Coturnix japonica: one gene and its partners. The protein of the gene in region 1 purifies or fractionates together with the protein of each later gene. This does not show direct contact. Links are inferred from orthologs where the notes say so. Each region holds a gene or a part of one and is shown in the gene's direction. Other genes may lie near its edges. The genes, in order: LIN28A, RRP12, UPF1, NCBP1, NOC4L, DHX57 and PURA.

The links.
Region 2: the proteins of LIN28A (region 1) and RRP12 purify together in Homo sapiens (affinity purification with mass spectrometry; 3 studies listed by BioGRID and IntAct, with this or other methods). This does not show direct contact. The link is inferred for Coturnix japonica from reciprocal best matches to the Homo sapiens genes LIN28A and RRP12.
Region 3: the proteins of LIN28A (region 1) and UPF1 purify together in Homo sapiens (affinity purification with mass spectrometry; 3 studies listed by BioGRID and IntAct, with this or other methods). This does not show direct contact. The link is inferred for Coturnix japonica from reciprocal best matches to the Homo sapiens genes LIN28A and UPF1.
Region 4: the proteins of LIN28A (region 1) and NCBP1 purify together in Homo sapiens (affinity purification with mass spectrometry; 3 studies listed by BioGRID and IntAct, with this or other methods). This does not show direct contact. The link is inferred for Coturnix japonica from reciprocal best matches to the Homo sapiens genes LIN28A and NCBP1.
Region 5: the proteins of LIN28A (region 1) and NOC4L purify together in Homo sapiens (co-immunoprecipitation; 3 studies listed by BioGRID and IntAct, with this or other methods). This does not show direct contact. The link is inferred for Coturnix japonica from reciprocal best matches to the Homo sapiens genes LIN28A and NOC4L.
Region 6: the proteins of LIN28A (region 1) and DHX57 purify together in Homo sapiens (affinity purification with mass spectrometry; 3 studies listed by BioGRID and IntAct, with this or other methods). This does not show direct contact. The link is inferred for Coturnix japonica from reciprocal best matches to the Homo sapiens genes LIN28A and DHX57.
Region 7: the proteins of LIN28A (region 1) and PURA purify together in Homo sapiens (affinity purification with mass spectrometry; 3 studies listed by BioGRID and IntAct, with this or other methods). This does not show direct contact. The link is inferred for Coturnix japonica from reciprocal best matches to the Homo sapiens genes LIN28A and PURA.

The regions. Positions count from the first base shown.
Region 1 is NC_029538.1:209,644-213,640, reverse strand, and holds the start of LIN28A (protein lin-28 homolog A), read left to right. Parts: upstream 1-1,197; coding exon 1,198-1,234; intron 1,235-2,056; coding exon 2,057-2,478; intron 2,479-3,997. UniProt on the Homo sapiens protein: RNA-binding protein that inhibits processing of pre-let-7 miRNAs and regulates translation of mRNAs that control developmental timing, pluripotency and metabolism.
Region 2 is NC_029521.1:19,507,112-19,511,125, forward strand, and holds the start of RRP12 (RRP12-like protein), read left to right. Parts: upstream 1-1,214; 5' UTR 1,215-1,275; coding exon 1,276-1,414; intron 1,415-1,738; coding exon 1,739-1,974; intron 1,975-2,056; coding exon 2,057-2,140; intron 2,141-2,310; coding exon 2,311-2,387; intron 2,388-2,509; coding exon 2,510-2,615; intron 2,616-2,701; coding exon 2,702-2,818; intron 2,819-2,922; coding exon 2,923-3,061; intron 3,062-3,228; coding exon 3,229-3,356; intron 3,357-3,626; coding exon 3,627-3,725; intron 3,726-3,800; coding exon 3,801-3,892; intron 3,893-3,965; coding exon 3,966-4,014. Other genes in the region: PGAM1 (phosphoglycerate mutase 1), read right to left, coding at 355-629, 851-1,091.
Region 3 is NC_029543.1:2,798,394-2,801,893, reverse strand, and holds part of UPF1 (regulator of nonsense transcripts 1), read left to right. Parts: coding exon 1-40; intron 41-340; coding exon 341-515; intron 516-970; coding exon 971-1,052; intron 1,053-1,552; coding exon 1,553-1,714; intron 1,715-1,955; coding exon 1,956-2,173; intron 2,174-2,540; coding exon 2,541-2,660; 3' UTR 2,661-2,663; intron 2,664-2,782; 3' UTR 2,783-3,500. UniProt on the Homo sapiens protein: RNA-dependent helicase required for nonsense-mediated decay (NMD) of aberrant mRNAs containing premature stop codons and modulates the expression level of normal mRNAs.
Region 4 is NC_029547.1:62,576,629-62,580,676, reverse strand, and holds the start of NCBP1 (nuclear cap-binding protein subunit 1), read left to right. Parts: upstream 1-1,248; 5' UTR 1,249-1,354; coding exon 1,355-1,397; intron 1,398-1,509; coding exon 1,510-1,595; intron 1,596-1,733; coding exon 1,734-1,834; intron 1,835-2,811; coding exon 2,812-2,968; intron 2,969-4,048. Other genes in the region: TSTD2 (thiosulfate sulfurtransferase/rhodanese-like domain-containing protein 2), read right to left, coding at 694-971, 1,107-1,205. UniProt on the Homo sapiens protein: Component of the cap-binding complex (CBC), which binds cotranscriptionally to the 5'-cap of pre-mRNAs and is involved in various processes such as pre-mRNA splicing, translation regulation, nonsense-mediated mRNA decay, RNA-mediated gene silencing (RNAi) by microRNAs (miRNAs) and mRNA export.
Region 5 is NC_029530.1:2,106,340-2,109,839, reverse strand, and holds part of NOC4L (nucleolar complex protein 4 homolog), read left to right. Parts: coding exon 1-24; intron 25-1,360; coding exon 1,361-1,524; intron 1,525-1,697; coding exon 1,698-1,780; intron 1,781-2,680; coding exon 2,681-2,794; intron 2,795-3,094; coding exon 3,095-3,211; 3' UTR 3,212-3,500.
Region 6 is NC_029518.1:14,410,436-14,413,935, reverse strand, and holds part of DHX57 (putative ATP-dependent RNA helicase DHX57), read left to right. Parts: intron 1-1; coding exon 2-98; intron 99-849; coding exon 850-1,023; intron 1,024-1,243; coding exon 1,244-1,444; intron 1,445-2,194; coding exon 2,195-2,471; intron 2,472-2,823; coding exon 2,824-2,919; intron 2,920-3,013; coding exon 3,014-3,097; intron 3,098-3,233; coding exon 3,234-3,371; intron 3,372-3,500. UniProt on the Homo sapiens protein: Probable ATP-binding RNA helicase.
Region 7 is NC_029528.1:15,484,009-15,488,243, forward strand, and holds the start of PURA (transcriptional activator protein Pur-alpha), read left to right. Parts: upstream 1-1,435; 5' UTR 1,436-1,450; coding exon 1,451-2,452; 3' UTR 2,453-2,657; intron 2,658-4,235. Other genes in the region: translation initiation factor IF-2-like, read right to left, coding at 1-1,031. UniProt on the Homo sapiens protein: This is a probable transcription activator that specifically binds the purine-rich single strand of the PUR element located upstream of the MYC gene. May play a role in the initiation of DNA replication and in recombination.

The DNA.
Region 1 (3,997 bases):
TGGACAACCTATGAGCATCACTGCATTATTAACACCGCAGAGTGCTGGTAGTACTGCTTGTTCTGCCCATCCCCGATGCATGCGGTCATCGAGACTCAACTGGCTGTGGGCACTAGGGCCATGTCCTCACAACCACCGAGTCCATTTCACCTACCTTCCTTCCCTCACTTGCAAAGAGGAAAACCATCTTTGTCCTCCTCCTCTTCTTCCTTCATCCCATAAACTCAGCAGTGAGGGAGCTACGTAGAACTCCCGGGAGTGGAGCGGTCCAGCGGTGAGAGGTGCGAGAGAAGGGTAAGAGGAAGAGAAGGAGAAAGAGAAGGAAGAGGAGGAAGAGGAAGGCGGCAACAGCCGCCGCGCAGAACCCTGGACAGTGCGCACTTCAGCACCACTGACAGCTCCGTAGCGCTCGGGCAGGCGGCGCCCCCCACGCGGGATCCCCCCATGCGGGATTCTCCTAGAGGGACCCCGCATCCTTTCCCCCTTCAGTGGGTGCCCCCACGACATTCAGAATGCTCAGCCTCCGTACACTGCCCCTTTCCCGCGCATTAAGGCCACGCATGATGTGGTCCCGCGTGGAGAGGCGGCTCTCAGCGTGGACGATGCCACATCCACCTCCCGTGGAAGCGTCGAGGAGGGGGGAAGGGGGCGGCCGAAGAGCTCGGACAGCCCACGCACCGCCCGCACCGCGCGGGGCCGCGGAGGCTGCGGGAGGCGCTGTGCCCCCGCGGGGCGGGGAGGCCGCGGGCAGTGTCCTCCCGCCGGAAATGGTGCTGCGGTCACTCGGCCCTTTGTCCCGCCCGGCCCGGGCCCTCTTTCCCCACAGCCACGCGTGGGAGGGACGAAGTCGGGGCCTCGGGGAGATCCCGCGTGCCGCAGTTGGGATGGGGCTGCGGGGAGGTCGAGGTGTCCCCAAAAAACGCTCGCTTTCCCTCAGTAGCCCCTGCAAAGCCCGGACCCACGAGCGACCTGGGCGGCTCTCAGGTGGCGAAATGGCGTTGGGACCCCCCCGAGTTCTGGGTATGGGTATGGGGGGGGTCCCATCTCCTCTTCGCGTCTTCCCCTTGACAGGTGGCCTCGCCCCTCAGTGGGGGGGAGGTCACACCGCCCTCCACCCAAATCCCTCCCGGAATGTGTCGCTATTAGCCGGGGGGAGTGGGGAGGGGGGGGGGTTAATTAGGATCACGTGGGGGCGGGATGGCGGCGCGGGGCTCGGCGTCCCCCAGCCCCTCGGGTGGGTCCCGGCCTGAGTTGGGGGTGAGGGGTGGGGGCAGCGGGGGCTTCTATTGTCTGCGAGAATTTGGGAGCCTTTGAAAAAACCCTCCCGCTCCCTCCCACCCCTATTGTTGGAGTGAAGATGGAGTCAAACCTCTCCCGGCTCCCTCCCGTCGGGGTCTAAGCCGGCCTTTTTTGTTGCTTTTTTTTTTTTTCGTTGTTTTTTTTTTTTTTTTTTGGGCTGATACCCTCAAAGCTGCCCGAGGAGGAGGAGGAGGGAGGAGGCGGTAACAGCCACAACCGCAAGCGAGTGTCGGGATGGGGTCTGTTTCCAACCAGCAGTTTGCAGGTTAAGTTATATTATTGTCGCAGCCCTCCTCGGCTCCGCGATTATTAATAACGGCGGCAGAGCCCGACGGGGGTCTGGGACCCCCCCAGCCCCGCTGATCCCCGCTGTGTCCCGGGCCCGGCGTGAGGGGAATTTTTTCAGCCCAGCCCCGGACTGAGCGCAGGAGCTGAGGGCTGTCGGGCTGGGGTCAGTGGGGAGCAGAGCTCCCGGTGCTGCGGGGAATCCTCATCGCAGCGCGGCGTGCTGGGGCAGGAGGGTCGGGTCGGTGTTTTGGGGGAGTTTTTCCGATTTTTTGTTGTTTTGGTTTTTTTTCCTTTATCCTTTAGTTTTTCTTTAAAAAAAAAAACAAAACCAACAAAACAAAAAATCACCGTCGTTAATTTTTATTTTTATTTTTTTCCTAGTGATGCATTTTGGGCTGCTTTATTTGGATTATTTTTTCAATTATTCTTCTTTTTTATTTTTATTTACGTATTTATTTATTTTTTTTCTTAAACACTTTGGACTGGAGAACGGCCCCAGCGCTCCCACCCCCGCTCTCCCTGCAGTCCCCTGCGATCCCACACGCACACACGTGGGCGCAGCGGATCGCCGCTTTTGGGTCACCGCGGTCATTTTTTTGCCTTTCCCATCCAGCAGGACCCAAACTTGGGCTCTTTCTGTTCCTTCCCTGGGGGCAGAGGGGTGTGGGACCCCCTCCAGCCCCACTCAGGTGCTCGCTGGCTCTCTCCCCAGGTGCGAAGCCGGGCGAGGAGCTGGCTGGAGATTCACCCAAAGCCGAGAATGATTCCCAACCCCTGCATGGCTCCGGCATCTGTAAGTGGTTCAACGTCCGCATGGGCTTCGGCTTCCTCTCCATGACAGCCAAGGGTGGCGCGACGCTGGACTCACCCGTCGATGTCTTCGTGCACCAGGTATGCTGCAGCTGGTTTGGGGTTGGAGGCGGTGGGGTGCAGCCCCAGCATTCTGCCCTTCAGATCTCCGTGCCTCTACTGCCATCCCAAATTGGTGTCCTGGGGGTGATGGGATTCCCCATGTTTGTGAGAGGAGGGCAGAGAAGGGCAGTGCAGCCCTTGGATCGCTCTCCAGGGAGCAACCCCGTAAACTGATCCTTGGGATCATTTAATTTTCTCGTGGTGGTTCACTGGGGAGCTCTTTGGAGGGCTGGGTACAGAGGAGCAGGTGCCCATTCAGTGAAAAAAAGGGGTACATAGGGCACAGCGGGGCAGGGATGCTGCTCACCCCAGGGAGGGAAAGGGGATAGAGCTGTGTTTCCCTCACTGCCTCATATAGGGTGCTCAGTGCCCCATGCAGGGATGCAAGATGGGGCTTTCCCCATCTCATCCTCAAAGGGTGGGGGTTCAGTCCATGCGAGCCCCGGGATGCTCATCCCTGGGAAGCAGGGAAACAAAACCATCAGTACTGTGATGACATGCGCTTGATTCCTCTGCTGTGTTTTGGGGGGCAAAGTCCCACTACAATGTGCCCAGCTCTCTGTCAGCAGGTTAGGGCTGCACTTCATCCTGCATGGCACAAAGCACATGGGGTCACACATGTGCCTCTATGGTTTCCATACCGTAACTGTGGTCTCGTGTCCGGGTTTGACCCGTGCATATCTTGCTGGTGTCCTGCACCAAAGGAAACTGCAGCTTTGGGATTATGGCTACTCAAAGCCACTTCAGAGGTGGGGAACGGATCCAGCCCTAGTGGGGACCGTGTGGAGGGTTTGGGGAAATGGGACTGGGGATGGAGTTTGAACTGGGGTCATGGGGGCATTGCTGGGAGGGAGATACAGTTCAGTGCTGGGTGCTTGGCAACGGGGCTGTGCACTGAACATGGGCTTCTGCTCCTCCAGGGAGAGCAGCAGCTGTTGGGGATGGGAGGCAGTATGAGCACGGGGGATAAGGATGTCTTTGGAGTAAACTCGGATGGTTTTTGTGCATTTGGCTGGAGGCAGGATGGGGATGGAGTGATTGTGCTGGTGATGGATCCTGAGGGCCTCTCAGCCCTCCCTTGGCAACCAGAGGGATAGGGGAGAACCGAACCCCTTCTTTGTAGAAGCCGCTGTGCAGAAGTGATGTTGGATTTGGGTCTGAGGTCTCCAAACCTGCCAGGGAATGCTGAGCTCCAGGTGCTCCCCAGGGGCAGCAAATGGGTCTTTGCATGTCAGTGTTGTGTCAGTGGGGGGGAGCCTCCCTCCCTCCTGCCCCTCTCCTCAGTCTTTATTGCCCCCAGACAGTCTGGTTTCCTGATTGCTCTCGCTCACATTCCTGCAGGAAAAGAGGACGAACAGGGTGTCCTCCTGGCACTCCCCATTTGTTGGAGACCAGAGCAGAGTTTGGTGTGCTTAGAAGGCAGCAAGCACTGGGCACTGGACAATTTAGGGTATGAGGTGGCACTGGGGAGCCCAGAGCAGGTGTGATTCTCACTGCC
Region 2 (4,014 bases), on another chromosome or scaffold:
GGAAATGAGGCACCAGGGGTTGAGTGCTGAGAACGGTGACTGAGAACAGGAGTGAAACTGGCTTTTAGCTGCGCACCCACGAGAAAAGAGTGCTGGGATTTGCCTCCAGCTACCAGCCCTGCCTGGGGGCAATAGCATGGTGCCTGCTGCCGAGCAAACACCCAAGGTCTGACTGCAGGACTAATGATTAACATCTCCCCTTGACTCCGTGCCATCCCTTGGGGTTCATCCCCTGCAGGGAAAGCACGGCATGGCCTCGGTCCAGCTCCTGTCACCGATGCTGCAACCGGAGAGCGAAGGGCAGCGTGGGAGGCCCACGGCACAAGGCTCCCCATGCTCCTAGCAGCCCCTTACCTTGCTGATGGCGGTGAAGAAGGGGTGGTCCGACTGCATGGGCGGCGGGGGGATGTCGAAGGAGCGCCTCCAGATCTTCACCTGGGCCTCGCCGTGCTTGGCGGCCGTCTCGGCCTTGTTGAGCCCGGTCAGGGCCCCGTAGTGCCGCTCATTGAGGCGCCACGTCCGCACCACGGGCAGCCACATCTGGTCGATGGCGTCCAGCACGTTCCATAGGGTGCGGATGGCCCGCTTCTGCACCGACGTGAAGCAGATATCGAACTCATAGCCGGCGTCTGAGGACAGCGGGGGTGGGGGGGGGATCAGAGGCCGCTCAGTATCGCGCCGTTACATAACGGGCACGGCCGGTCAGCACCGACACCGAGATGACCGACAGACACCCGTAATGACCGACAGACACCCGTAATGACCGACACCCGTAATGAAATGACCGACACCCGTAATGAAATGACCGACACCCGTAATGGCCGCCGCAGCCCCCCCCACCCGCCGGTACCTCGCAGGGCCTCTCCGCCGCGCCTCGCCTCCTGCTGCCCGGCGGGGCTGAGGTCGGCGTCGTACCAGCCGCAGAAGCGGTTCTCCAGGTTCCACGCGCTCTCGCCGTGTCGGACGAGCACGAGGCGGTACGCGGCCATGGCAGCTGGAGCTCTACAACCACCCCGCTCCTCCCGCTGCCGCCGCCGCACGCAACTGACCCGCCCCACGCCGCCCCGCGCCGGGCAGTGCGAGGCGCGCATGCGCAGCCCGAGGGAGGCGGCGGGCGGCGGAGCACGTAGCGCATGGCGGGGCCGCGAAGGGCGGCGCGACCTTCGGGCGGTGACGTCACCGCGGTGCGGGCGTCGCTGCCCTCACTGCAAATGGCGGCGGGCGCCGGAAGCGGAAGTACGGCGGGAAGGGGCGGCACGTGGAGCCGGGACCGGCATGGCGCGGTGCGGGAGACTGAGGGCAGGAACCGCCGCCAAGGTGCGGCGATGGAGGAAGGGGCACAGCAGCGATTGTAACCCCGAGACACGGCGGCACCGCCTGGCCGCGAGAAGCCGCTTCTACAGCCGGCCGGCCGGTGAGCGGAACGGGACCGGGGGGCGACGTGGGACGTGGAACATGGGGGGGGGCGGCGCAGGGTTGTGAAAGGCCTTAAAGCTCAGCGGGGTCCTGCCGCTCCTGGCTGCCAGTCGCTGCATCGAGGCCCCGGCCGCGATGGGCACACAGTTATATGGGCAGCGCTGCATGGGCCTGCCCCGCTGTGCACTGAGTCACATCCGAACCTCAGTGCCACGCTGCTCCGTGCTAATCCTATGGGAGGAGCGATGTCCGTGTCTCATACCGGGAGCAGAGGGTGGTGGTGATACGGGACAGCCTGACCGTGGGGCTTCTCACCCGGCAGAGAAAAGCAACCTGACGGTGGACGCGGTGAAGCTGCACAATGAGCTGCAGTCAGGATCGCTGTGTGTGGAGCGGCCGAGCGGCAGCTCTCAGCTGCCCATGGAGGAGGGTGATGTCGGCGAGGCCGCCACCGAGAGGTCGTCGGGCACCTTCCTGAGCGGGCTGAGCGACTGCACCAATGTCACCTTCAGCAAAGTGCAGCGCTTCTGGGAGTCCAACTCTGCCGCACACAAAGAGGTACCAGCAGGATCAGGGCTGGCCCTGGGCTCCTGGGGCAACAATCCGAGGATGCTGAGGGCTCTGCTCGCTGTCGTGACAGATCTGTGCCGTGCTGGCAGCTGTGACTGATGTGATTCACTCGCAGGGGGGCAAAGAGACTGAGACTGAGTATTTTGCTGCGCTGGTGAGTGACTGCCGCAGTTTGATGGCGCTCTGCTTGTGTTGGAGGCTTTGAGCATCCTCCGGCAGAGATGCTGTTGAGTTGCCCTTTGTTTCTCTGCCCCCTTCCCCAAAGCTTTGGGAAAGGCTGGTCTGCTGCAAATTCTCCTGCTGCAAACCCCTCCTGTATTCCAGATGACCACGCTGGAGGCGGTGGATTCCCCTGAGTCAGTGGCTGCCGTTGCCTACTTGCTCAACCTTGTCTTGAAGCGGTGAGCAGGGCAGGGAGTGGGGAGGGCTGCCCCGGCAGGATGGGGTCTGGCACAGTCTGAGGGACAGGCTGTGTGTGCGAATCCCTGTGTGACTGCCTGCCATTTAACCCTTTTCCCCACAGAGTCCCCAGCCCGGTACTCATAAAGAAGTTTTCAGATGCTTCAAAAGCCTTCATGAGTATCATATCCTCACAGGCCTGCAGCGGCTCCACCTCTGCACTGCGATGGGTGAGTTGCAGGGAGGGGCAGCCTCTCTGGTGGACTGAGGGTGGTCTCAGTAAGGTAATACCAGTATCCTTGCTGTCCTCTTGTAGGTCCTCTCATGCCTGGCCACTCTGCTACGAAAACAGGATTTGGCAGCCTGGAGCTACCCTGTCACCCTCCAGGTCTACCACGGCTTGCTGAGCTTCTGTGTTCATACCAAACCCAAGGTGGGTTTTCAGCACATGTGGGTGCTGTTCCAGGGCTTGGTTCTGGGGCTGGCTGTGCTCCCTGTGCATATGGTTTCTATGCCCCCATATTCATCCACCCCCAGGTTCGGAAAGCAGCTCAGCACGGTGTGTGCTCAGTCCTGAGGGGGAGCGAGTTCATGTTTGGAGATGAGGCTCCTGAGCACCATCCTGCGGCGCCCTCCAGTGCCAAGTTCTGCGTGCAGGAGATTGAAAAAGCTGGAGGTAGGTAGGGACAGCAGGGAGAAAGGTCTTGCAAGAGTTTAGGAGAGCTTTCAGTCGTCTGTCTGTTCCCTTCTTCCCAGAGTGGGGCTTCAGTTCACCCCAGCTCTGACATGGGGTCTTTGCTCAAGGCTGTTGTTACAAGTATGGGTGCTGCTCTGTTCCACCAGGCACCAAGGAGGCTACCACCACACTGCACGTGCTGGCCCTCCTGCGGGACCTGCTGCCCTGCTTCCCTGCGGCTGTGCTGAAGACGTGCTGCGAGACCCTGCTCAGAGTCATGACCCTCAGCCATGTGGTCAGTTCCCCTGTGTCCTTGCACGTAGTGCTTGTGCCAGTGCCTCCACCTCAGCTCTGGAAGGCATTAGGCTGCTCTGTTGGGAATCTGCAGGACCTGAAATCAGAGCATCCCAGGCAGAGCCGGCTGGCTGGCTGCTGTAGAAGGAGGGGGACATAGATGGGGAGCTCCACTGGAGATGGGGTGTCCCTGTGGGTTGGGTAGAACACTCTTTGGGGTAGGACTGCAAAGCACAGAGGTTTTGTTTCTCCTGACCACATGTCCTTGCAGCTGGTGACAGCGTGTGCCATGCAGGCTTTCCATAGCCTGTTCAGTGCTCAGCCCAGAACGTCCTGCATGCCAGCCGAGCTCAACGCCCAGATCATCACCGTGAGTGCAGGGATGGGTAGGGAGGGATGGGGCTATACTGGCACCACTGTCTTCAGCACCATTTTTCTTCCCTAGGCGCTGTATGACTACGTGCCCAATGCCAACGACCTGCAGCCGCTGCTCACCTGGCTGGCTACCATGGAGAAGGCACACATCAACCTGGGCAGGTGGGGAGAGGCTGGCGCTGGGCTGGGGGGAGACTGAGCTCAATCTCTCACTGTTGTTCTGTCCCTTCTCCAGACTGCAGAAGGACCTGTGCTGGGCTCACCTGCCCCGTCTCTTCTCGGCC
Region 3 (3,500 bases), on another chromosome or scaffold:
ATGACCCCAGGCGTCTTAATGTGGCTCTTACAAGAGCAAGGTAAGGTGAAATTGAACAGATTTCGTTTTAGAAACGAGCTACTAAGGGCTGTGTTCTGTGGGTGGTAAACCCGTTCCTCTGCCTGGTTTGAGTGAGCCTTGAAGGGAATATGGAAATCATTCAATCTTAAATCAGTCAGCGTTACTGTTTTGTATTGGAAGTGTGCAGAATCCAGCATGCTCTTCCTCTTTGCCTTCAGGACAGAAGTCATCTTCCCTTCACTCACTCTTTTCTGTCTTAGCAGCCATAGTTACAGTTTTTCTTTCCTTAGAATGAGTTTGATTGTCAATTCTTCCATAGGTATGGGGTAATTATTGTTGGGAACCCAAAAGCTCTGTCTAAACAACCGCTTTGGAATCACCTGCTGAATTACTACAAGGAGCAGAAGGTTCTGGTGGAGGGACCACTGAATAACCTCCGGGAGAGCCTCATGCAATTCAGCAAGCCCCGAAAACTTGTCAATACTATCAACCCAGTAAGTTGGCCTTTCCCGTTCCTCAGATACCTGTGGTGTGAAGTAACTGGGCATTGATAATCATAAATTGATGGAATAAACAGGCACCCATGTGTCCTCACAGCTGTATCTTTCCACTTCTTGCCTAGTAAATGGGCAGTGGCAAAGTAAGCTGCGGTTTCTAAGTGGAGCAGCTTGTCTTTATTCACTGTAAAACTGTACAATGGGATAACTTCTGAGATGCATGAAACATGTAATAATTACTTTGTGTAGATTTAGCAAGCTCATTATACAATTGTTCTGTAAGGTTTTTACGTTGAGAATTGTAAGCGTGTGGTTGGGATGACAGCTGGATGTTTTTCATGTATTAGAAACATTATCTGTGATGGTTTCTCTGAGTTTTTACTTGCCTTACAGTCAGGTTGCAGTGTACAGCTCGGTGCTAAACCTTTGTCCAACTCCTTCAATTCTTTCAGGGTGCCCGTTTCATGACCACTGCCATGTATGATGCACGTGAAGCTATTATTCCAGGATCTGTCTATGACCGGAGCAGTCAAGGTAAAGAAGCTTCCAGCATTAACACCATTCACTAGTCTTCTGCAGTGTCTCATAGACTGCAAATGTTTAAATGCTTGAGGAGATGCTACAGAAAAATGTGGGTGTTAAAAACTGAAAATGCTTCTGATGTCTGAATACTTAAGGAGGATTTTGCTGTCCTTAACGTTGCAGTAACCTGTGTGGTTTAACTGCATATCTGCAGAGCAGGTGAAGAGGAAGGGGGTGTGTGTGTCAGTGTTGTGGGAATCATGAACAGCGCTATAGAAGAGTGATTGGATGGGGTGACCACGTTATGTCTCTTTGAGCCTTGGAAGTGTGGAATAAATAGGGAAGTAGAAATCCCAGAGGTTCTTGGCAGTGTTAGGCTTGTCCTTTCAGTTTCTGGTTTCTGATTATGTTATTTTTCCTGCTTGAAGTCCTTCCGTTACCATTAAAAGCAGGAATATGAATCTCAGATTATTCAGGATGCTTGAAATCACTGTGACTTTCTCCCTCTCCAGGGCGCCCATCCAACATGTACTTCCAAACCCACGACCAGATCGGGATGATCAGCGCAGGCCCCAGCCACGTCACTGCTATGAACATTCCTATCCCCTTCAACCTCGTGATGCCCCCAATGCCACCTCCGGGGTACTTTGGGCAGGCCAACGGCCCGGCTGCAGGTATGGGGCTGGGGAGGGCAGTGCCAAAGCCATGGTGTGAGTCTGATGTGAGATAATGGTTTTGGTCCTGATGAGAGTAAGATGTGATTTGATAATAAGCCTGTTGTATTTCTTTGCACCTTCTACATTGAGTACAACATGAAATGTTGCTTTAAGTGAGTCAACAAGTCATTATAGAAGCATCTGATTTTCACACGCTTGTAAAGCTTCTCACTGTTGGTTTGGATAAATGCCTTTCCAGGACGTGGGGCACCCAAAGGGAAGACTGGACGTGGTGGGCGCCAGAAAAATCGATTTGGGATTCCTGGAGCGAGTCAGTCAAACCTTCCCAATAGCCAGGCGAGCCAAGACGTGGTGTCCCAGCCTTTCTCCCAGGGTCCACTGACTCAGGGGTATATCTCCATGAGTCAGCCATCTCAGATGAGTCAGCCTGGGCTCTCCCAACCAGAATTATCACAGGTAAGGAGAGCGATGTACAGTCCTGCCCTTTTTCCTGGGTTTTATGTTAGTGTTTTGTTTGTGTGCACATCTCCATTCCTTAGAACTGAGGACGGTAGAAACTAAACCATCTTAAGTTAATTTGGCCCCAGCATTTCTGACCTTCTACTTGGTGGGCTTCATTAAGTATAAAGAATTCAGTGCTGCATGTTCCAACCTCACTTTGAGCCTTAACCTTCAGCTGCCACGTACTGCTAAAAGCTGTATGGCATCGGGGGTGAACTTTAAAAGCGAAAACAAAACAAAAAGTCACTTTTTCTTTACCAGTGGCTGCTCTGTGAGGAACCACTGGAGCTCGATGCTGCTTAACACACACTCTCGTTTCCAGGACAGTTACCTTGGTGATGAGTTCAAGTCTCAGATTGACGTGGCGCTGTCACAGGACTCCACCTACCAGGGGGAACGCGCGTATCAACATGGCGGAGTGACGGGACTGTCACAGTATTAGAGTGTAAGGCTCTGAGGTCCCCCCTCTGCTGCTACTCCCCAGTGTGAGCACTAGAGAACTGTTTCTCTCCTGACAGCCCTAATGCAGCTCTTGTTTTGTTTTTTTTGCTTTCTCGCTTTCAGGTTGAGGAAGAAGAGCTAAGCTTGCGTGGAGCTTAGTTCATCAGCATTTTATTCTGGGTAATAAAAAAAATAAAATAAAATGGATACCTGTTTTCCACTGCTAAAACTGAAGCACCACTGTGTGAGAGCAACAGGAGAAAGAAACCAACCAACGGAGAGAAGAGAGAGAGAAAGAGAGAAAGGAGCGCGCGCGAGAGAGCCCACTGCTAGCTCACTGAGACAAGGAGACCGACCGGAGAGGAGAGAGAGCAACGACGGACTGGCTGGCGCCTCACGGGGAAGGCAACTCACCCTGCAATGAGTGGTCAGCCGAGTCCCTGCTCCCCCAGTCCAAGAAGCTCGAGAGAAGGGCCTTAAGCAGGTTTCACTTCATTCCATACTTCTCTTTGCGAGCGGGGCATTACTTTTCAGAGCAGATGGGGAGAGGAAAACCCTCATCTCAGAGTTGTTCTCATTTTCAAGGGGTACTATATTTTAGCAGTAACTGTTTACATTTTAGAAGCAGAGTATCTGAGAAGGGAGTTCTTAAGTTGACAGCAGGCCGAGCAGAAATCCAATGGAACGTAGCTGATGCTCAACTCTGAGATGGAGGTTTTGTTGTCCAGCGCTGGCTCTGAAATCCTGGTGTCATCGTGCCGCCCACATTCTGAATGGGTCTTTCGTGACAAGGTGGTTTTAAAGAGATTCTTTCAAAGGAGCACTGAATTTTTAGAAGTTT
Region 4 (4,048 bases), on another chromosome or scaffold:
CTGAGCTAGACTGACTGAAGCAGAATCATCTTGGGCCACATATATGTAAGGCTGATCCAAAATTAAGGCCTCCTATATACTCTCAGAAAATACAGCCCACGCAAAGAGCACAATAACACTATTAGAACAACTTATCACCTAAAAAACACTGTTTTTCAGCATTGCCACCAGCATTAGCTACACATTTCACTAATGATGAACAAGAGGCTGCATGACAAGCTAGGGATTAATTCTGGAGCAGTCCTCATAAAATGTATAGAATAGTTTATATCACAGAATCACAGAATGACCCGGGTTGGAAGGGACCTCAAGGATCATGTAGTTCCAACCCCCCTGCCTGGCAGGGCCACCAAACATACGCCTTTACTAGATCAGGTTGCCCAGGGCCCCGTCCAACCTGGTCTTGAACACCTCCAAGGACGGGGCATCCACAACCTCCCTGGGCAGCCTGTTCCAGGGTCTAACCACTCTCCTAGTGAAGAACTTCCCCCTAACATCCAACCTAAATCTTCCCTCTTTCAACTTAAAACCATTTCCCCGAGTCCTGCTATTGTCAGTTTATGCATGTAAGTATCTCATTGCAACTCAACACATTCCATTGAAAACTTATAGCTCCTATTCTCAGGTTCCTGTAGCAAAATAGAAAGCAAGAGTACATATTCGTGCATAGAGCATAAGCCACACCGGCCTTACCTGGTCAGCTCGTCGCTGCGTAGGCCGCTGGTGTCGGGCAGCACCTCGCAGAGCTCTCCACAGGCCTGTCCTCCCGCCCGCTCAGCACACACCGCCCTGCTGATGGTGCCATGCCCTGCCGCCTGCTGCTCCACGTCCCCGCCGTGCTGCGTACCGACGTGCCGATGGATACCACGGCGCTCACGGAACGTCTGCCGGCAGCACCTCCACCACACGGCCGCCCCGCTGCACGGGTAGGCGGCCGGCACCTCTTTGGCCTTGACGAACAGGGAGAACGCCTGCAAGGCAGACGGCCGTTACCACAGGCGGCCGGTTACCACAGGCGGCCGGTTACCACAGGCGGCCGGTTACCACAGGCGGCCGGTTACCACAGGCGGCCTGGAGCCCCAGCGCCCCGTGCCCACCCTACGTACCTTCCTTCTGGCGGAGGCACGCTGTTTCCTAGCGGCGGCCGCCTGAGCCGCAGCGCTGCACCGAGATACAGCCTCCGTCTGCGCCTCGCCCGGCGCCATCTTGCTCCTTCGGCCCCACCCCCGGAAGAGCTGTGGGGCTGAAAGCGGAACTGGAAGTGGAGGCGAGGCCGACGGAAGCGGGCGGGGAAGGAGCGCGGTCGGCTGAGTCCCGCTCGGCGCGGCCCGGTGTGTGCTCGTCACTCAGCGCCATGTCGCGGCGGAGACACAGCGATGATAGCGATGACAGCGATGGTGAGCGATGGGTGCCCCCACGCTTCTCCCTGCGTGGCCCTGTGGTGGGTGGGATGGGTGGGCGGCAGGTGAGAGGCTGGGCGGTTAACGGTGTGGTCGCTGTGTGGAGCAGGGCAGCCCCACAAGAGGCGGAGGACGTCGGAGCCGTCCGAGATCGAGGAGAGGCTCGAGTCGCTCATCTGCAGAGTGGGGGAGAAGGTAGGACACAACGGCGGCCGCGTGGCGCACGGAGCGGGGCTGGTGTACTGCTGTATTCAATGGGCGCTGTTAGACTAAGTGTTGTCTGGTTGATGCTGCAGCATTTCTTTATTTCTTCCTTTATTTTGCCTTCTGTAGAGTAATTCATCCCTGGAGAGCAACTTGGAGGGCCTAGCTGGTGTGTTGGAAGCTGATCTGCCAAATTACAAAAGCAAGATACTAAGAATTCTGTGTACTGTGTACGTATGCAGGCTGGGGGGGACTGAGAGGTGCTTGCTTTCCTTGCATTGGAAACATTGGAGTGTTTGAGGCAATCTGAGCATTCTGTGGTGGTTTTTTAGTTCTCAACTGTTGTTACCTTTCCTACAAACAGAAGAAATAGAAGGGATGAACTCACTGAGTTCTGGGGGTAATTTAAGGAAAATATTTCCTTGCCGTATGTGAACTTGAAATGTATACAAGGCTTCAAGCAGAAGAGAATCAGCACTGTTGCCCAGCAGCAGCAAAAGCACAATGCTGGGTAACACACTGCCCCCCAAAGAAATAGAGGCATTGAACCTGTAGGCTGCCAGTACCTCTTGCTTGTGATGCCTTCCTGTGGCCTGTTCCTCTGCTCTGGGCATGTGGTGGTGCTGATTAATGAGCCCATCCTTGGGAACACAGAGGGGCTGCTGGCAGCACTCCAGTCACTCCCTATAGTGGTAAAATGTATTTGAAAATATAGAGTTAGTCTACAGGTATGCAAAAAAGGTTGAGGAAAGCTAGTTGTTTACAATAGGACCCACCATTTTCTGTTTTTTCCCTACAATCTCCCTAAATCAATTGCTTTGACTGAAGAAACTTAGGATCAAATTTATCAGTGTAAAATGTGTAAATCTTGTGTAGTCTTAAAAGAGCGTTTTGCATCTTTGAATAAATTCTATCACGTTACTTAGCCCCATCTCCAGGACACTTAGAAATTAGAAATAAATAAAAAGCAAATTACTTAAATTAGTTGCAAGTGACATCTGCTTTCCTAAAAGTAATCCTCCCTCCTAGAAAAAGAAACAGTCTGAAAGCATTAACCATGGGAACAACTACAGATTATGTTAATGTTTTTTGTTACTTCCACATGAAACAAGTTTAGCTTACTATAAGCAAATTCTGGGCTGGTATGCTGTTGTTGGTTGGTTTATGATGAATAAGTGCTAACGCTGTGTTTCTCTTTCTGTGTCAGTGCACGTCTGTTACCAGAAAAGCTTACTGTTTACACAACACTAGTTGGGTTGCTGAATGCCAGGAACTACAACTTTGGTGGGGAATTTGTAGAAGCCATGATTCGTCAGCTTAAAGAATGTCTGAAAGTCAATATGTACAATGAAGCTGTGCATTTAGTAAGTGTCTCTTTGTGTTAGATGTTTTCCTCACCTTTTTTCTTTCCTCCCTTTCACCTTTCCATGAGAACTTGGCCTTTCTACATGTATTACAGTCTTTAAATTTCATTGATGCTTGCTTTTATGTAGATAAACTGAGAGGAATTGTATGTTATATGAGGAGTACTTCCTTCCCAAGGGGAGAAAAATCATGTCACAGTTGCAGACTGTGTTTCAAATGTGTATTTCCTCAGTTGCAAGTTAATTTGCAGCCAAGGGAGGTCATTCTGCTCTTGCCAGCCTTTTCTGCAGCAAAGTATAAAAAGTGGATGAAACTCATGCTTTTTGATATTTTGTATTAGTTGCTCTTTTGGCTCCCATGGAAGGGGAAAAAAAGGCTCAGTCTTAAAACTAGTGTTTCATGACTGCTACCAGGCCTGTGTTATTTGTCCCCCAAAGAGGGGTAGTCAGAGAAAGCAGACAATTGTTAGTGCTTTCTCTGAAGCCACTTGCTCAGCTCTCACTTCAGAGATCTTATAAGAGAGAAGACCAGTTGCAAGCTACACTGCTTCTTTTAAAGCCCATTGATGAGGGAAGAAAGAAGAGAACAGTTCCCACTATAACATGTTCCCAAAACTTTTTGTAGTACCCCAAACCTTTTCTACTTAAATTGCCATTTATGCCGGTCTGGATTTCTTGTTAGTATGCCTCCAAATGAATGATGTATTCCTGCCATGAGGAATGTTTTCATTGCCAAGGCTGATTCCTAGCCTTGCTCACCTTTCTGAGACCTGACAATGCAGTCAGCTTTTACATCAGCTTTCCCTTTGTAGCTATCTGTGTTTATGAACAAATAACTATGGAAATTTGTCTCATCTGAAAGACTCTAAATGATGCCATTTCTGGTTCACCTCTGGACTCATGAAGAAGTTGATCAATCCAACTTCAGCATTTAAGAAGGCATTTGTGGGTTTGTTTGTTTGTTTTACACTTGGGGAAGAGAAAATGTGGTTGTTCTATATGTTTTGTTACGTGCTTGCATGCCTTTAAATGCATATTGGTGTTTCCCACCCTGCCATTATTAGGAGTTGTAGTGTTACA
Region 5 (3,500 bases), on another chromosome or scaffold:
GGCTGATCTGTTTTTGTCTTCATCGTAAGTAGAACCTTCAGTATATATGTACCTTTCAGTATATACGTACATACATTTTGCTGCTACTTTTCAGTTGGCCAGAGTCCATTCTTCAACAGTCTCCCGTGTCTGGATTTAATGTAGTCATTGTGCTCGCTGAATTAAGTTTGTTTTCTTATTGAGAAAACTGAATCTAAGAGTGTTACTGCAGTGCTGTAATTCTTCATGTGATGTCTCTGAAGATGCGCCACGCATCTGTCTGGTTTCACAGACTAAAACTGCAGTTCATTATCTGAGTTTGATCGGCAAATCATTATGGATGTATTTTGATCTGTATTCCAGTTTGGCTGAAAGTGATGATTTTTCTCTCCATCTTTATGAATATGGAAAAGGAACATTTGCAGGCTTTTTATAGACGCAGTATCATAAATCTGTTGATAAATTGATGACCTTTTTGCAGACGTGTAATATTGAAATATAAAGCATTTGACGCTCTGTCTTGATGCTGTCAATTCATCATGCCCAGGGAATAAACTAGATATGCAGCTGGTCATAGAGTTGCCATAATGTGTTGTAAAATAAACTAAGAGTAATGCTCAGCGCGTGATATTTAATATCACCCCCCTGGTGCTCATAGTGTTCTCTGGAGAGAGTAACAAGACATGGCAGATGGTTGTACCTTGGGGTGGTTTGGCTGAGCCTTGCAGGTGTAGGGAGCCCTGGGGCTGTGGGATGAGTGGCTGGAAATTGTCATCTCATCCCAGCTCTGCTGACCTGAAGAATGTATCTACACGAGCTGATTGCTGTTAAAAACCTGCATTTCTACCATAAAAGAGAACTATTCTGCACATTTACGTGACAGCAGCTTTATGTTCCCATTACAAGCTGCACCGCTTGCTCTAGTCCTGCAAGTATTACATAAATTTAACACCATGGCACGTGTATTAATTAAACCCACAGAACTACATTAGAAAAATATAATTAAGGTTGCCTGGCCGAATACTCAGAAGTTTATAAAATGACTGAATAAAGACAGCAGTGTGAATGGCCGTGTACAAGAGCTGTGCTTGGCTACAGCAAGTGTCTGGAGTAGTGCCCTGTGTCTGGGTTCAATCACAAACTGATGTGAGATTATTCATGCACTGAATGGAAATGCCCCAAAATTTGTTCCAGACAGCACACAAGACCCCACGTAACTGCTTGAAATCACAATTCATAGCTGTACGATTCCTTTTCATTTCATAGTCCAAAAAGCTGAGGAATCCCACTGGTCCTTAGCCTGACATGCTGGTTGGGTTGATGTCTGCTGGTTCACTTGCTGGAACTCTTGACATTCTGGTGTCTTCTTCCTTCCCCACAGTCACTTGCCAGCGTACCTGGTGGCAGCATTCATAAAGCGCCTGTCCCGGCTGGCCCTCACTGCTCCTCCCGAGGCTCTGCTCATGGTCATTCCTTTCATCTGTAATCTCTTTCGGAGGCACCCGGCCTGCAAAGTGCTGATGCACAGACCTAATGGACCACAAGGTAAGAGGGAAAGGCGGGGACTTCTGTGTTACACCTTTAGGCAGCATGAAGAGCAGGATCCCTGGAGAGATCCTGGCCCCAGATCCTGAGTGTGTTGGTTGCTCTGGGTCCCTGGGTTCCCTCTGGTGTCATGGACACTGCAGGAGGTCTTAGCTCTGTGTCTCTTCCCTTAGATTTGTCAGAAGATCCGTATATTATGGAGCAGGAGGAGCCATCTGAGAGCAGGGCTTTGGAGAGCTCGCTCTGGGAGCTTCAGGTATGTCATCTAACAAGGCACATCTGTGTATGGTAGGTACAGCCTTCTCCCACCCTTGCTGCTTACATGACACAACTTGGCAGCCAGCACTATCACTTCCATGAACCTTCTGACAGACACGTCTTGCAAATGAGATGAATTTCTGGCTCTTCACATCATTTTCTATCCTTAGTGTAAGAGGCAGAGGATTTTAAACACATGAGAACTAGTGCCTGCTAATTAGCACGAGTCTTGTGAGTGCACATCTGGCCATGCAGCTGGAAAGTGGGCTGTTAAGAGCTGAAAGAGTAAATAGTGGCAAATGTATGGGGCTTTCTACTTGCTTTGGAGGGGAGAGAAGAGCATGCTGAGCATTGATGGAACTTGAGTACAGATGGGTCATCCTGTAGAAATGACTTCTAAAATGATGAAGATTGCAGTGTTCACTCTTAACATGGAACATTCATAGGATGGTGTATGAAAGCTGAAATTAGTTGAGTTGCTCCTGGTGACCTTAGTGGCAGGATTATCACTTCCCATTTAAACACCGCAAGGATTTTGTGCAAGGTGGGTGTTGCAGGAGAGAGCGGGAGCTCAGATGCAGCAGTGGGGCTCTGGGAGGTGGCAGAGTTGAGGTGTGTGCTGCAGTAGCTACAGCCAGTGGAGGAATCCATCTGTCTTGGGCTGAATGTGAACCTGGTGGAAGGGTGCTTTAATTATGTCTTAAATGTGGCTAATGCTTCAAGACATACAGATTTTACTGTATGTCTTTAAGCTGTGTAATAACGCAGTACAGCAGACTTGCCTCCTTTGCCAGAATTAATGTTCGTAACCAAGGGGTTTGTTAGGATACCTGTGCATAAAGCCAGGTGGATGTGTGTTACCGTGTGCTCATTAAACTTTCTCCTCTTTATCTTGCAGTCTCTACAAAACCATTATTACCCAGATGTGGCCCAGGCAGCTGCTATCCTCAATCAGTCGCTGTCTGAAATAGAGGATGACATATCAGGGCTCTTGGAGCTCTCAGCTTCTGAGGTAGTATTGCTGTGCTTTTGGGAATGACTATAACAAGAGGAAGGGAGACTGCTTCCTGACTGCAACAGCACTGTCCTGTTGATCAGCCTTGCTGCTGGGGAAGGAGCTAGGTGGACTTTTGGTTGCTTACAGCCAAGGGGAAAATGTCTGTTAAATGGTGGAGCATTTGGCAGCGGTAGCGGCAGGACTGTATTGCATTTAAAAGGTTTACTGTATATTTTATTGTGTTAGGGTGAGTGTTGGTATCAGCCACAGTAAGGGGATTGTACTGAATTTTGTCAATATTTTCTCTTTTTGTAGCTTTTTGATAAAGAAATAAAGAAAACATCTGCTAAAGTGCCGCTGGAGTTCGTGCAAGCGCGAGGTTTGTTTGGGAAGAAAAACGATATCCTTGCAGAGCACTTTGCTTTAGATTGATGCCATCTCTTAAAAACACATCTGCACAGCTGACGGACCTTCAGGACCTGCACCAAACTCACATGTTTTGCTGGACAATTCTGCCTTTGAAATATCTCTTTAAGAGGTGAAAACTGGACTGCCTTCTGAAGGAGCAGCCCTCTTCAGGGACCTTTTCCAGTATCCACATACAGACTTTTTTTCTTTGTGAATGATGTTTTGGAGGGGTTTTCCCTCACAGTATTGTTTTCTGGATTTGTTCACTGTTGGGATCTTGGCCCTTCTTTCCAAAGCTGCTGGTGCTGGCTGA
Region 6 (3,500 bases), on another chromosome or scaffold:
GGTGCTGTGTTGATATTTTTGCCTGGTCTAGCAGAAATCAAGATGCTTTATGAGCAGCTCCAGTCCAATGCCCTTTTTAATAACAGGCACAGCAAGAGGTAAGGCACAACAGCTCCCAGGTGACGTCTTTACCCATTATAAAAAAAAAAAGAGAGTAGCTTCCAGCATGAAATCTGCCTTTATCAAGGGACAAATACAGTTTATTAAACGTGTGAGTTTGTGATATGACCCAGACAAGAGAATTCCCACTCTGCTGTCTTACTGACTTGCTCTGTTAGATTTTTTCTTGTCGTCTCAGAAGAATGGAAGGTGTTTGTTTTGGTACCTGTTGTAGTTCTCAGAAATCCCAGTGATGAGTTTCTGCACTTTGCACTCTGCGTGGTCCGGTGGACTGTTGGAAGCTTCACCTCAGCTACTGTTCTCTTTCAGAATGTGCCCTCAGAAGCCTTCAGCTGTTACTGTGGTTGTATTTGATCACAGATTGCTACATGGAGGTGTAACTGGATTTCCTTGTCTAAACAGTAGTGACACAGATGCCTTTGACAAGGTTGACTGGAGTGATCTTTTCCAATCTGGCGTTATAAATCAAATGTTCTAGACTGTTCACAGGAGACAGGTTGTTGGTTTTTCAGCTCCATTCTGAGATCTGTTCCCTCTGCAAACTTCTCCACCTTCCCGCAGGGTGTATCTTAAATTTGATGTGGCAGAGAGGTTTGCTGTTTTTTACATGAATTTGAATGTGTGTGTGCACTGTCTGGTACTGGCAGTGCAGAAGTGCATACAGGCAGGCTGTTCCCAGGAGGAAAAAAGCAGAGATGTGCTCAGCATACTCTCCTATTTTTCCCCCAGGTGTGTTGTTTATCCACTTCATTCTTCACTGTCCAGTGAAGAACAGCAGTCTGTGTTCCTCCGGCCTCCTGCGGGAGTTATCAAAATCATCATCTCTACCAACATTGCAGAAACATCTGTCACCATCGACGATGTGGTCTATGTGATTGATTCCGGAAAAATGAAAGAGAAAAGGTACTGGGATTCATTCCTGTTCTGTGCAAAGAGCTGGGAAGAACCTGAAGGAGTTTGATCTGCAGAAAGCTGCTAGGAGAGGGAGAGCCAGTCTGGACCCAGATCCAGCTGCAGGGGTGGGAATCAGGTCCATATAGAGGTTGGCAACATCTGTGTGCTGGAGCTCCAGCTTGTTCACCCTGCACCCGTGAATATAAGCCTATTTCTTGCTCTCCTGCAGATACGACCCAAGCAAAGGAATGGAAAGTCTGGAAGACACGTTTGTGTCCAGGGCCAACGCTCTGCAAAGGAAAGGACGAGCAGGCCGTGTAGCCTCAGGTGTCTGCTTCCATCTTTTCACTAGCCATCACTATAACCATCAGCTCATAAAACAGCAGTTACCAGAAATACAAAGAGTGCCCCTGGAGCAGCTTTGTCTAAGGTGAGCTGTTGTTTCTATATTACCTGAAAGACCCTGTGTAGAGTGTCCTCCCTCCACAGGAGGAAGCATCTGAAATGCCCTTATTAAGGAATTTAGTCCCCCTTAGTAACATCACAAAACCAGTAAACTTGCTTTGGAGGTTTCAGGTTCTCTTGATCTCATTATCACAGTGCCTCTGCATCCAGAGATCTAGTCATACCATGTCTCAGATCTCCCATCTTCTTGCACAGCACTTAGTTCTTATTTAGCACTAGGAAAAAGGCCTCTCATCCCCTGAGAAGATATTTGCATTCCTGTGCTCTGGGCCCACAGGAGATGTTTATCTCTCTATACTATAATCTCCCTTGGAGTTGCTGAGCGACACAGTGCAGTAAGTCCACACTCTGGATCCAACACTGCTGTAACACCAGTACTAAATGAAAGAGACCTTCTTGCTCCTGCCTCACTTGGTGCACCCCTTTATACAAAAAAAGAAACAAAACAAGAGAAAAACATTTTTTCCAGAGAAAACTTCATTTTAAAATGAAGTGTGATAAGTAAGAATCTGTTCTTCCTGGCTGTGATGCTGGATGGAGGTCACCCATCCTCATATGGCTTCCTGAGTTTAATCACTCTTTACAGAGCCTCTTCGAGGGGCTGTGTTCTTGAAAGCAGGTTTGTGGTGTTTTGATAAATGCTCTCTGTGACATCCTGTCTGTGGAACTAAGCTGCCTTCTTTTGCTTTCAATTGTTTTTTGTCCCCTCCTTCAGAATTAAGATTCTGGACATGTTTTCTGCACAGAGCCTTCACTCTGTCTTATCACGACTAATTGAGCCCCCTAGAACTGAGTCTTTGCGGGCATCAAAGCTGCGTCTGCAAGACTTAGGAGCGTTAACTGCAGATGAAAAGCTCACTCCTTTGGGATATCACTTGGCTTCCCTGCCTGTTGATGTCAGGATTGGCAAACTAATGCTGTTTGGCACCATCTTCCGCTGCCTGGATCCTGCGCTCACAATAGCAGCCAGTCTGGCTTTTAAGTCACCCTTTGTAAGTATTGTTACTTGCATTTCCATCTTTGAAAGCAGTGCATTTTCATACAGCGGTGAATGCTGCTGTAAGCTGCAGCGTGCTGCACCTGAGTGTGTTTATTCTCCTTCTTAGCCTCCCCTGTTTATATGCTTAATGCAGTGCTCATCAGAAGAGTTGTTACAGGTAGATGATGAAAATCATACAGCAACAACACAAATAGTATTTATAAACAAGCATTGAAACAACACAGTTATTACAGTTAATGAACATTAAGTGCAGCCAGTCTGTTTTGTCCAGATTTAGTGTAAAAATTGAAAGCAAACATAAGCAGCAGTTCCACTGTGAGATTAATCTGTCCCTGCCTTTCCAGGTGTCCCCATGGGATAAAAGGGAAGAAGCAAACAAAAAGAAGTTGGACTTTGCAGTAGGAAACAGTGACTATCTGGCTCTGCTCCAGGCTTATAAGGTGAGCTAAAAATGATTAGCCTCTGTCAGAGGTTTGTGATGTATCACAGCTTGAAGTTCAGTACTTCAAAGTTTGCTCTTGTCTTTTCAATTAGGGATGGCGTTTAAGTACCAAAGAGGGCCCTCAGGCAAGCTACAACTACTGCAGGGAGAACTTCTTATCAGGAAGAGTTCTTCAGGTAAGTCAGTTTTTGTGGCCTCATGCAGGGACTGGTTGAGGACACCGAGGTGGAGTTCTGGTGCCTAAACTGAGCGAGCTGTTGGTGCTGTTACCTCAGTGGGTCTCCCATCACAGACCTTTCTCTTTTTTTGTAGGAAATTGCCAGTCTGAAAAGACAGTTCACAGAGCTGCTTTCTGACATTGGGTTTGTGAAGGAGGGGTTAAGAGCCAGGGACATTGAGAGGAAGTGGTCCCAAGCAGGCGATGGCGTCTTGGATGCCACAGGAGAAGAGGTAACTTGCAGCATGTCGATGCTTTGACCAAATGCTGCAGCTTTTGATGGGGCCAGAAAGCCAGCTGTTAGCTCTGCCGGGCTTCTGGATGCAGCCTTGCAACAAACCACCTCCTACCTATAGTTTTTC
Region 7 (4,235 bases), on another chromosome or scaffold:
GCAGCGGTTCTGCCCCGTCGGGTTCCGGCAGCGCCGCCGTGGGGGGAAAGGAGCCCCGGGAGCGTTCGTGGCGAGACAGATTTCCACGGCAAGACGCGAAGCGCTCCGCCCGCAGCGGGACTCGGCTCCCCGGTGAGCCCCGCTCCGTGGGCCGGGAGCCCGGAGAACGGCCGTCCCGTTCCGCTCGGGGTGACCGAGGGACGCTCTCCGCGTCTCAGCCGCGGCGAGGGGCGGCCGCCCGGTTCCCTCCAGCCGGGCTCGTCCTTTCGATGGTTTCCGAACAAAGGCTCCTCGCAGCCGCCCGGATCGAACCGCGATTCTTCACGATAAAGAATCACACGGCGGCACCGGGCCGGCAGCGGGGCCCGACTGCGGACGTGCGCCAGGCCACGGCCGTGCCCGCCCGCTCCGCCGCCCGTTGGGGCCGGGGCCGCTGCCGTCGCGCGTCCCCTTTGGCGGCGTCGCACTGAGACGGGTGGGCCCGAGGGGTCGGAACCGCGTGTCCCGCTCCAGCCGCCCCCGACGGGACGATAGAGGGAACTTGAGGGAACCGGGGCTGGTGGGAGGGACCCGGGTCGGAAGCGGGGAGAGGTTCGTCCGGAGGGCGGCGCGGTACCGTATAGTGCGGTATGGTACGGTATAGTACGGTATAGTACGGTATAGTACGGTATGGTACGGTATAGTACGGTATGGTACGGTATAGTACGGTATAGTACGGTATAGTACGGTATGGTACGGTATAGAACTGTATAGTACGGTATAGCACTGTATAGCACGGTATAGCACGGCATAGCACGGTACGGTACGGTATAGCACGGTACGGTACGGTACGGTATAGCACGGTACGGTACGGTATAGCACGGTATAGCACGGTACGGTACGGTATAGCACGTTATAGTACCGTATAGCACGGTATAGCACGGTACGGTACGGTATAGCACGGTATAGCACGGTATAGCACGGCGCGGCACAGCGTCACTCCGCACGGCACCGCACGGCATAGCACCTCGTATCACGGCACAGCCCTCCATAGCACTCTATAGCCCTCCATAGCGCTTGGTATCACGGCACAGCGCGGCCCCGCCCGCCCGTCCCGCTCGGTGCCGTCCGCTCCCGCTCGGTTCCGTGTCGCGGTTCGGCCGCCGGTCGGCGCGGCGCTGCTTCCCGCTCTCGGTTCGGCCGGCTCTGGGGGCCGCTCTCTGCCGCCTCCCGCGCCCTCTCCTCGCTCCCGCAGATCTCGCGAGAGCGGCCGGCTGGTGGCCGCGGGGGCTGTTGCAGCGGCGGCGGAGCGGCGGGCGGAGCGGCGGCGGCGCGGGCGGCGGCCGGGGCGGCCGAGGCGGCGGCGCGGGCGGCAGCGCGGGGGGCGGAGGGCGGCATGAGCGGCGGAGCGGCGGCCGAGGCGGCGCTGCCGGGCGGCGGCGGCGGCGGCGGCGGGCGGAGCGGCGGCATCATGGCGGACAGAGACAGCGGCAGCGAGCAGGGCGGCGGCGGCGGCGGCGGCGGCGGCGGCGGCGGGGGCGCGGCGGGCGGCGGGGGGCCGGGCTCGGGCTCGGGCTCGGGCGGCGGCGGCGGCGGCGGCGGCGGCGGGCCGGGCGGCGGGCTGCAGCACGAGACGCAGGAGCTGGCCTCCAAGAGGGTGGACATCCAGAAAAAGCGATTTTATCTGGACGTGAAGCAGAGCTCCCGGGGCCGCTTCCTGAAGATCGCAGAGGTGGGCGCCGGCGGCAACAAGAGCCGCCTGACGCTGTCCATGTCCGTGGCCGTGGAGTTCCGCGACTACCTGGGCGACTTCATCGAGCACTACGCGCAGCTGGGGCCCAGCCAGCCCCCAGAGCTGGCGCAGGCGGCCGACGAGCCGCGCCGGGCGCTCAAGAGCGAGTTCCTGGTGCGGGAGAACCGCAAGTATTACATGGATCTGAAGGAGAACCAGCGCGGCCGCTTCCTGCGCGTCCGCCAGACCGTGAACCGCGGCCCGGGGCTGGGCGCCGCGCAGGGCCAGACCATCGCGCTGCCGGCGCAGGGCCTGATCGAGTTCCGCGACGCGCTGGCCAAGCTCATCGACGACTACGGCGTGGAGGAGGAGCCGGCCGAGCTGCCCGAGGGCACCTCCTTGACTGTGGACAACAAGCGCTTCTTCTTCGACGTGGGCTCCAACAAGTACGGCGTCTTCATGCGGGTGAGCGAGGTGAAGCCCACCTACCGCAACTCCATCACCGTCCCCTACAAGGTCTGGGCCAAGTTCGGCCACACCTTCTGCAAGTACTCGGACGAGATGAAGAAGATCCAGGAGAAGCAGCGGGACAAGCGCGCCGCCGCCGCCGCCGCCCCCGCGGGCTCCGGGGCCGGGCCCGAGCCGCCGCCCGAGGCCGAGGGCAGCGCAGCCGCCGCCGCAGCCGCCGCCTCCGGTCCGCCCGGCGCCCTGCTGCAGCCCGACGAGCCCGACGAGGACTGACCGCCCGCCGGCCGCCCCGCCCGGCGCCGGGGCCGCGGACTCGGACTGCTCTCGGCCGCGCGGGCGGCAGGCGGCGGCCCGCGGCCGTTCCCGGGCGGCACCCCCGGAGCACCCCCCGCCCGGCAGCCTCCACCGAGCGACAGCAACGCCTCCGACCCGCCACCCATCGCTGGATGTCCCTCCACTTTTCCCACCGTATCAAACAGTAAGCAGCTGCTAAAACAAACAAACAAACAAACAAACAAAAAGTCAAAAAAAAGTAATAACATTATATATGAACTGTGTTTCCTACTTGATTAAAAATATAAAGAACTGAGTGTTTATTTCCCTAATTAACCGAGAACTTTTGTACACGTTTAAGCTATTATTATTAAAAGTGTTTGCAAAAATGGTCAAGATTATAATATTGCTGAATTATATAAAAAGTCCTTTTCATGTTGAGCTAACATTTGACTTTAGCACAAAAAGAAAAAAAAAAAAAGAGATATTTTAGAACACGTAAAATAATATTTTTAGTTTTTTCTTCTCATTTTGTTACCAAATTTCGAACCTTACATGGAGGTTACTATAGTATATTTGACACCCTATATACCTGTGATTAGAGATGTGTATATATATATGAGGGCTAGGCATGCTGTGTGTCTGAGCTTTGTCTAAATGTTATGCAGAAGTTTGTAGAGTTACAAGGTACGTAGGTTTAATTCATGCAAGGTAAACAATAAGTGCTCTCTTTTATACGATATGCATTGCATCTGGACCTTCGACATATAAAAATGGTCAGTGAAACTTCTGTGAACATGAAGAAAAATTATTAAAAAAGGCATTTAAATGAAATTTGCAAACTTGTGATTTTTACGTTGGAACCAAAGTTACTCAAATAGGAAAAATTAAAAAAAAAAAAGAAAGAAAGAAAGAAAAAGAGAGAGAGAGAAAAGTGAAGGGTTTCCTCCCGTAATATTTTTCTGCACCTGTTTGGTTTACAGCTCCGTAGGCGTATTGTCATTGTTGTGTATATGAGATGTTCATGTATTGTTCATAATCCGTTGTTTTTATTCTTATTCTGTGTACTTTGGGCACTCAGACGCTGCGCGGTGCGGGGCCGGCCGGCCGGTGCTGCCCGGTGCTGCGGGTCGTGCATTGCCGTGCATTGCCGTGCATTACCGTGCATTGCATTGCCGTGCATTGCCGTGCCATGCATTGCCGTGCATTGCCGTGCCGTGCATTGCCGTGCCATGCATTGCCGTGCATTGCCGTGCCGTGCATTGCCGTGCATTACCGTGCATTACCGTGCATTGCCGTGCCGTTCCGTGCCGCCGCGCCCCGCCAGCCCCGCGCCCGGGCCGAGCTCCGAACCGAGATGATTTGTAATAATAGATTTTTACAGGTGGATTTTTGTTTTCTTTTTCCTATTTTATTTTTTTTCTTTTTTAAAGTTGATGTGCTTTTCATTGACTAACTTCTTGCTGCTGTATAGTAAAATATTAATATATTTTTATCATTAAACTGCTGCATGACTATCATCGTGACGAGTGAAGAGAAGGTGTTACAAAACAAAAGATGCCTTAAGCAGTACAACTGGTACAACTGTAGTCGTTGGCCGGAGCTCTGGGGCGCAGGGGGAGAGCGGAGCTCGGTGAGAGAAGTTTGTTTTCTGCTGTCTGCTATTCCCATTGCAAACTGTAATCCCTTTCCCCCTCCTCCCTCCCCCTTTGTTTCGGAGATGTACTGTGAGTGTCAAAGCTGTTCCCGTCGTGCCGTGCCCTCCCCGTCGGTGTTCGCAGTT